2 linked regions of the Danio rerio genome follow. Each later gene encodes a partner of the first gene's protein in a complex. Links are inferred from orthologs where the notes say so. Each region holds a gene or a part of one and is shown in the gene's direction. Other genes may lie near its edges. The genes, in order: gpaa1 and pigs.

Evidence for each region.
Region 2: gpaa1 (region 1) and pigs share a complex: the UniProt entries of both Homo sapiens proteins name them as parts of the GPI-anchor transamidase complex. The link is inferred for Danio rerio from reciprocal best matches to the Homo sapiens genes GPAA1 and PIGS.

What each region holds. Positions count from the first base shown.
Region 1 is NC_133177.1:1,638,555-1,642,383, reverse strand, and holds part of gpaa1 (glycosylphosphatidylinositol anchor attachment 1 protein), read left to right. Parts: intron 1-786; coding exon 787-934; intron 935-1,481; coding exon 1,482-1,583; intron 1,584-2,307; coding exon 2,308-2,504; intron 2,505-3,829. UniProt on the Homo sapiens protein: Component of the glycosylphosphatidylinositol-anchor (GPI-anchor) transamidase (GPI-T) complex that catalyzes the formation of the linkage between a proprotein and a GPI-anchor and participates in GPI anchored protein biosynthesis. Binds GPI-anchor.
Region 2 is NC_133196.1:42,872,121-42,875,949, reverse strand, and holds part of pigs (GPI transamidase component PIG-S), read left to right. Parts: intron 1-3,077; coding exon 3,078-3,169; intron 3,170-3,242; coding exon 3,243-3,480; intron 3,481-3,829. UniProt on the Homo sapiens protein: Component of the glycosylphosphatidylinositol-anchor (GPI-anchor) transamidase (GPI-T) complex that catalyzes the formation of the linkage between a proprotein and a GPI-anchor and participates in GPI anchored protein biosynthesis.

The sequences.
Region 1 (3,829 bases):
TAAATTTACTTTATTTTATTCTTTATTTTTTGTGTCATTATTTATTTATTTTATTACTTTATTTTTATTTTATTTATTTTATTACTTTACTTTTTATTTTATTACTTTTTAAATTTACTTTATTTTATTCTTTATTTTTTGTGTCATTATTTATTTATTTTATTACTTTATTTTATTTAATATTTTAATCATTTTATAATCCTTTATTATCTTATTTTATTAATTGAATTACTTTAACTTACATTATTTTATTCTTTTTTATTTAATTACTTTATTTAATTACTTCATTTATTTTCTTTATTTTTCTTTCATTATTTATTTTATTACTTTATTTGTTTTATTTATTTATTTAATTTTTTTATTAGTATTTATACTTAATTCTTATTCTATAGTATTTAATTTTTTATTAATATTTTTACTATTAAATATGTAACTTAGCAAGAGAAAAAAAATAATGCAGCAATATAAAAAATGCCTGTTCGTTCTTTTTCAGATATCTTATGATTGATATAAAAGAAAATTCACTCCTGATTGACTCAAACTGATGGATGTTGCTTATCTGTAGCACAACCACATGTCTTTTTTTAATTATTATATAATTTTTTCATTCCTTAATTAAAAAGTCTATAGGCTGGTTAGAAAAAAGGTGCAAAAAGAAAAAAAATGTTACCTCTAAAACTAATAATGTGGGCATTTAACAAAGACAAGTCCACTTTAATAAAATAAATAAATAAATAAAATACTAAAACTGAAGTACGCTTGAAGCAAATGTGCTGTTTTCCTCAGATGGTTCGGGGCACAAATGTTTATGGGATTTTGCGAGCGCCTCGAGCTCCTCGGACAGAAGCGCTCGTGATCAGCGCCCCCTGCACTCCTGGAGGTACCAACAATCAGGCCGTTGGAATCCTGCTGGGCCTGGCACAATACTTCAGGAGTAAGACTCTTTCTGATTCTGCAATATTACATTGACAAACTCATTTCACTTCTTTTTGCTTTGTAACCAACTTGATTTTGGGCACGGATGCAGGTTGTGTATGAGTGGATGTGTGTTTTGTGTTTTTACTTAATTTTGTTTTAATTTTGGTGTTTTGAATTGATGTATGAACGTCATTTCTGCAATAATTCAGTCTGTATTCAGTCTATATTCAGTCTTGTATTGCTATGCAGGAAATAAATGAACCCTAAAACATTTTTGCTTGTAAAGTTTTGGTTTGGGAAACTTTAGTTTTATTTTAATTCTTTTAAAAATGTTTTCCAATGTTTGTTTTATGGAAATATTTTTTTCAACACATTTCTAAACTTAATAGTTTTAATAATTAATTTCTGATACTAGTATTTAGCTTAAAGTGACATTTGAAGGCTTCTCTGGGTTAATTAGGCTAACTTTAGATTGTATTGCGCATATTATACAGTGTATTGTGCATCCCTATGGCATCTATTGTAATCAGAATGAGATTTATTTTATATTTATTTCCCCAAAGATCAGGTTTACTGGGCCAAAGACATCATCTTTCTGGTGAATGAGCACGATCTGATCGGCATGCAGGCCTGGCTGGAGGGATACCACCACACTAACATTACAGGTGCGTACACATTTACATCCAAGCCCTCATTTTAAAGAGGATCTGCTATGCCTTTTATACAAGATGTGAAATAAGTCTCTGATAAAGTGTGTGTGTGAGGTTTCAGCTCAAAATAGCACACACACATTGTTATCTACCTCTCTGAAACTGACCCTTTTAGGCTTTGATCCTAACTTTGGCGTTTTGGTGACTGTCACTTTAAATGCAAATGAGCACTTTTGAGAAGAGGGCGGAGCTTCAGCATAGTGGCAGATGTAAAACAGCACTAGTGTTGTCAGTGCTGGTCAGGTGTGCATGTGTGCTTCATGCTTCTGTCAGTCCATGTCGCTCCTGTCGCTGCTTCATCTAAAACTCCACATCTGTAATCCTCTTAGTCTATGCTGACGTGATCTTCAGCAGCTCAAACACCGCTAACGGATAGACGGCTGCTTCTCACTCAGGGCTGCTGTTTATGCTGATGAGGGAGAGATGGGCTCTAGTGGGCGGGGCTTTCCCCCTCTGATGACACGTACAAAGGGAGAATGTCAATCAAAGTGTTTCTGCAGACTGATTTCATCAAGTCTGATTATTAAATATAGAATTAATTCATGTTTACAATTAGAAGCTGGGGAGATTCACACACTGCTGACACACAAACAGTTATTTTAGCATAATAGGTCTCCTTTAACAAGTTTTAGTCCCTGACATTCCTTGTTGTTAATGCTTGGGTCTCTCTGTGTTTCAGGAATGGAGTACTCTCCTCTGCAGGGTCGTGCTGGTTCGATTCAGGCTGCGCTGTCATTGGAGCTCAGCAGTGATGTCATCACCAGCCTGGATTTGGTTTTAGAGGGACTCAATGGTCAGCTGCCCAATCTGGACCTGGCCAATCTCTTCTATGCCTTCTGTCAGAAGCTCAACGTTCTGTGCACCATTCAGGGAAAGGTAGGACGTGATTCAAAGGGACACAATGCACTCTCCATAAATAATCACGTTATTTTTCTTTAGTTCACAGATATAAAACACAAACACAACTCTCCCTCAAGCGGTTTCAAAACTTTACAAGTTTTTTTTATTTGTTGAACACAAAAAGAAGATATTTTGAAGAATGCTGAAAACCTGTAACCATTCGCTTCCATAGTAGGAAAAAAAAAACATGCACTATTAAATTCAATAATTACAGGTTTTCAACATTCTTCAAAATATCTTCTTTTGTGTTGAACAGAAGAAAGAAACTCATAAAAGTGTGTAAATAATTTTTTTTTTGGGTGAACTATCCCTTTATTATGGAGTACTTCTCAGAACATGATTGATTTGCAATAGTGAGAGTTCATCTGAGCCGCTGCTCTCCAGTGTGTATCTTTTAAAGGTAAATGGTCTGAAATAGGGCTGGGCGGTATATCGAGTTCTGGGGATATATCGATATGATTCCCCAACGCGATGCAGGATAATCCAAACAGCTGAAAACGGCTAGAATTCTGCTAGAACCATACACAAACGCTGAAAACAAGTCTCAATGTACTTACACACAGCTGGTCTCATTGCTAAAATGCTTCTCCTACTAACTGAACCTACTTTGCTCCTTATATACTCTTTACTTGGCGCTTGGACACGCCTCGAGAGTAAAAACAACCGAAACTGGGGGGCGCGAAACGATACACAAGTTCTTACAGTAACCAAGGAAACAGTGAGTAAACTTAAACTAAAAAGTTTAAGTGTCCTAGAACCACACACAAACACTGGAAACAGGTCTAAATGTCCTCGGGGGGGCGCGAAACCATCACAAACAACTGAAAACCGTTAAAAATACTGCTAGAACCACACACAAACAGCTGAAAACAAATCTAAATGTACTTACACACTGCTGGTCTCATGCTAAAATGCTTCTCCTGAACAAATGAGTGCATGCGCAAATGAATGATTCACTTCATGATACAAAAGATTTGTTCAAAATGAACGATTCGTTCAAGAACGACCCATCACTGACGCGACATGGAGGAACATGCAGTCCCGGTGTTGTATCGAAATCTGACTCCCCGGACAAATCTGACTCCTCTTTCTTCCGCAACTGACAGCAAGAACGAACACAGAAGCCTCGTCAAATCGACAAGCAGCACCCGAATGTGTTCAAATTAATTAAAAATGCCAAAATGGTACGAATTTATTTAATTTATTATTTATTATTTATTTAACATTTAACTGGAAGACGTGATTTGTAAAATAAAATAAAAATAAAAAGTAAAATAAAAAAACATGCATTTGTCTACCAA
Region 2 (3,829 bases), on another chromosome or scaffold:
AACTGTGTTATTTGCAAGTTTGTCCCCCGGGATTAACAACAAATTTAAAAAATTGAGTGGGAGAGTTTAGCTGATGCGGTTAACACAGTTGGGTCTGAACATCGCACTGTGTGGATTAAAAAAGAGATAGTGAGATGTATACTGAAGGTGCAAAATGTTGTAGTACCATTAACAGTGTGAGTGGCGCAGCTAGTAAAACGCATGTCATCATGTTTTGACACGTCCGAGCTTGAACTCGGTTCGAACCCAGCGTCTGCTGAACTCATTCTTTTTTTCCTCCCGCTACATATCAGATTTTGCCTACTATTAATCACGAGGAAGACAAGTAGGAATCATTAATAAGTCTGTGCATAATATTTTATTTGCACATTTATTGAATGGAAATGTTTCTGATTCACGTATGCAAATTCATCTTCAGATAGTGTCTTTATAGCAATGTGCGTGCAGTAGATCGCTCCGATTACATTGGGGAAAACAGACAATCGCTGCAAATTGCGCTTTAATGTTTGGCTGGTCAAATGTATGGTATGGAAACCTTATATACCTGCTAGATGAACCCGCCTCATACAGCTGCCATTGCAAGTCTCAGACACTTTGTAGAGAGCAATTTAACACAATTGCCTCTAGGAGTCGCCAATGGAAATAAAACAGACACACACAAAAAATGTGCGTACGCCAGCCATGAAGTTGGCGTGGAGCTGCGCAAATTCTCACGTTCATTTCATCGTTAGTAAATCCAAACGTGAGCGATTCTGAGCGTGAAACCTGGCGCACGCAAAGTTTTTGTGCGTATGCAGCGTTGATACATGAGGCCCCAGGTGTAGTTGTTGGTATGGAGAAAGCAGTCAGTGAAAGAAATCCAACAGAGAATCCAGTTCAGAGATGGATCCACAGCAGCCACAAGTCAAAATAGGCAGTGAAAAGGAGGACAGATCAAAGCTTGACACAACCTGACTATACAAATGAGCACCGATGACTTATTTAGTAAGAAGTAAAGCAATACTCAAGTCTTTTCGGTTGTTGTTGAATGAGACTCTGAACGGTCTGTTGAATTTTAAATTGATTCGTTGATGCTGAGTAAATGTTGTACTGTGGTCGTCCACGCCGCCTAAGCACAACCTAAAGTAGCAGCTGTTTAAATGACAACATTATGACACTGTTGTGACAACCTTCAGCTACAACATAGATCCTCAACCTTTTTACAAGGTTGGTACACAACGTTGCAGGAAGGTTGTTATGTCGAGGCAATGTTGTGTGTTTGTTGGGATAACTGGCAAAGGCCAGAACATCTGATCTTTTTCTTCCTTCAAATAGTACATGGTGTCTAAAAGCTACTGTAAAACACTTGGTGGTTTCAAGAGTTCACACTTAGATAATGCTTGACTATTTAAGCAAGTTTGGCATGCTGTCCCGGGAGAGAACCCTGAGCTCGGTGATAGATGAGCCCAATGCTCCCGCCTGGTCAATAAGCATTAGGAGGGATATGAGATCAGGTAGTTCTCGATAGTTTCCTTAAATAGACCGCTAGCTGCGCTAGTTTGTCGTAAGTGCTTGTGACTTTAACTTTTGTTGCATGGTTTTTGAGTGTGGGAGAAAACCGGAGTACCTAGGGAAAAACCCACGCGAACACGGGGAGAACATGCAAACTCTGCACAGAGAGTATCGGTTGGCTCAGCTAGAACCAACAACCTCCTTACTGTGGGGCAAAAGTGCTAGCCACCGAGCCACCATGTCGCCCGAACTGAGGAGGAGGGAGAAGGGATGGATGGGGGGGTTTTCAAAACGAAGATGAGAAATGAATTTAGGCTGGATATTTATATTGAATTTAGAGTGATCCGATTGGCTAGTTAGTGATTAGTGATAGTGATCAGCTGTAGTCGATCCTATCTCGTGCTCCTCTCGAAATTAGTTTACAAAACTTCACTTTGAAGGTTTCCAAAGAAATAAGATCCAAAGTCTTGCTAATAAAGGGATAAAGGCAAGTACCTCAAACTGTTTACATGTAAATCAGCTCCGGTTCTTGATGACACCAAAAATTGTAGTGGTGGGACAGATATTTACTTTATTTTGAAACCATGTCTAAAAGGTTCCAAACCAATTATTTCAATGGTTTTGTAGTTCTAGGCAGGAAAACATGTCTTAAATTGACTTAAATTACAGGACGACTTGTCATCCACAATAGGATAAAACCTATAGAGCAGAGTTTTGGAGTTATAGACCCTATGCAGTATTTTAAACTGTATGAGTGAAAGCCAAGCACATATTAAACTTGAATTACAGTTTGTCAACAGCATTTGCCTACCATTCATTCATTCATTCATTTTCTTGTCGCCTTAGTCCCTTTATTAATCCGGGGTCATCACAGGGGAATGAACCGCCAACTTATCCAGCAAATTTTTACGCAGCGGATTCCCTTCCAGCCGCAATCCATCTCAGGGAAACATCCACACACACATTCACACACACACTCATACACTATGGACAATTTAGCCTACCCAATTCACCTGTACCGCATGTCTTTGGACTGTGGGGGAAACCGTAGCACCTGGAGGAAACCCACACGAACGCAGGGAGAACATGCAAACTCCACACAGAAACGCCAACTGAGCCGAGGCTCAAACCTGTGACCCAGCGACCTTCTTGCTGTGAGGCAACAGTACTACCTACTGCGCACTACCTACTGCTTCGCCCATTTGCCTACCAGTAAAGCTCAAACTCTTCACCTACCTCAAGTTCCCAGGCACTTTTAATTTAGGCAATAGTATGATCCTCCAAATCAGTAAGCTGACAATAAGTTCTTGACTTCAGTAATTTTTTAAAGATAAATTTAGTTGTCTAATGGGATAGTTATGTTGTCTCGCCATAAAACATTTTATATTAGAATGTGAAATTTGAAAAACTTCTAGACAAGATTTTCAGATGAATACGATTTTATTTATTTAACATATTCTTTTACTGAAATATGCAGTTGTTATTGAAGTTATAATTAGGTAATATGTTTTATCTAAATCAATCTTGCCATGAAACTTCCATAAGTTGCTGATGTGAAAATTAACAAGCTCAATTTCCCTCCACAGAGGCTGATTTATCCTTGCACACTCTGACCGAGAGTTCCTGTGGGTCTGTGGTTGTGTATGTGATCCCCGAGTCCTCCGTTCTTCTTCCAGAGGTGAGCTTCAGAATATATTTCTATTTCCTCCAAACGCATACTGAAACCCCTACTGAAGGTCATGTACTTCCAGGATGTGAAAGTGTACGTTGGACAGCGGCGCACAGCTCTTCTGCGTTCCCCTCCTTTCAAAAGTTCTTGGAGTCTGAATGAAGTCATCTCCAATCTAAACCCAAGGGTGGAGCAGATAGCGAGCACCATGTCTTTCAGTCATCAAGATATTACAGCAGCTCTGAGCGACCGAGTCCGAATGACCAAAGTGACCAAGGAGAGTATGGCAGACAGCATGAGGGCTATCAAATCTAGTCCAGGTGATTTTATAATGATTTTATTTGTTTGGATATTAGTGTCAGTACGTTAGTTTTAAGGATATCTATAGACTAGTGTGCTACAAAACAGTAGGGCTGACGATACTAGAAAAATTACACATTGTGATTGTGATTTTTTTTTTTTTTTTTTGCAATACATATTGCGATATGAACACATTTTCACTAGATGAGTTGAATAAATGTTTGTAAAGAATCTATAATTATAGATTAATTGGGAAGATTCTGTAGGGGAGTGCATAAAATAAAATTCAAGTTTATTTGTATATCACTTGATCACAATAAGGCCGTACTCACACTAGGTACAGTTGCCTCGAACCGGGCCTCCCGTCCC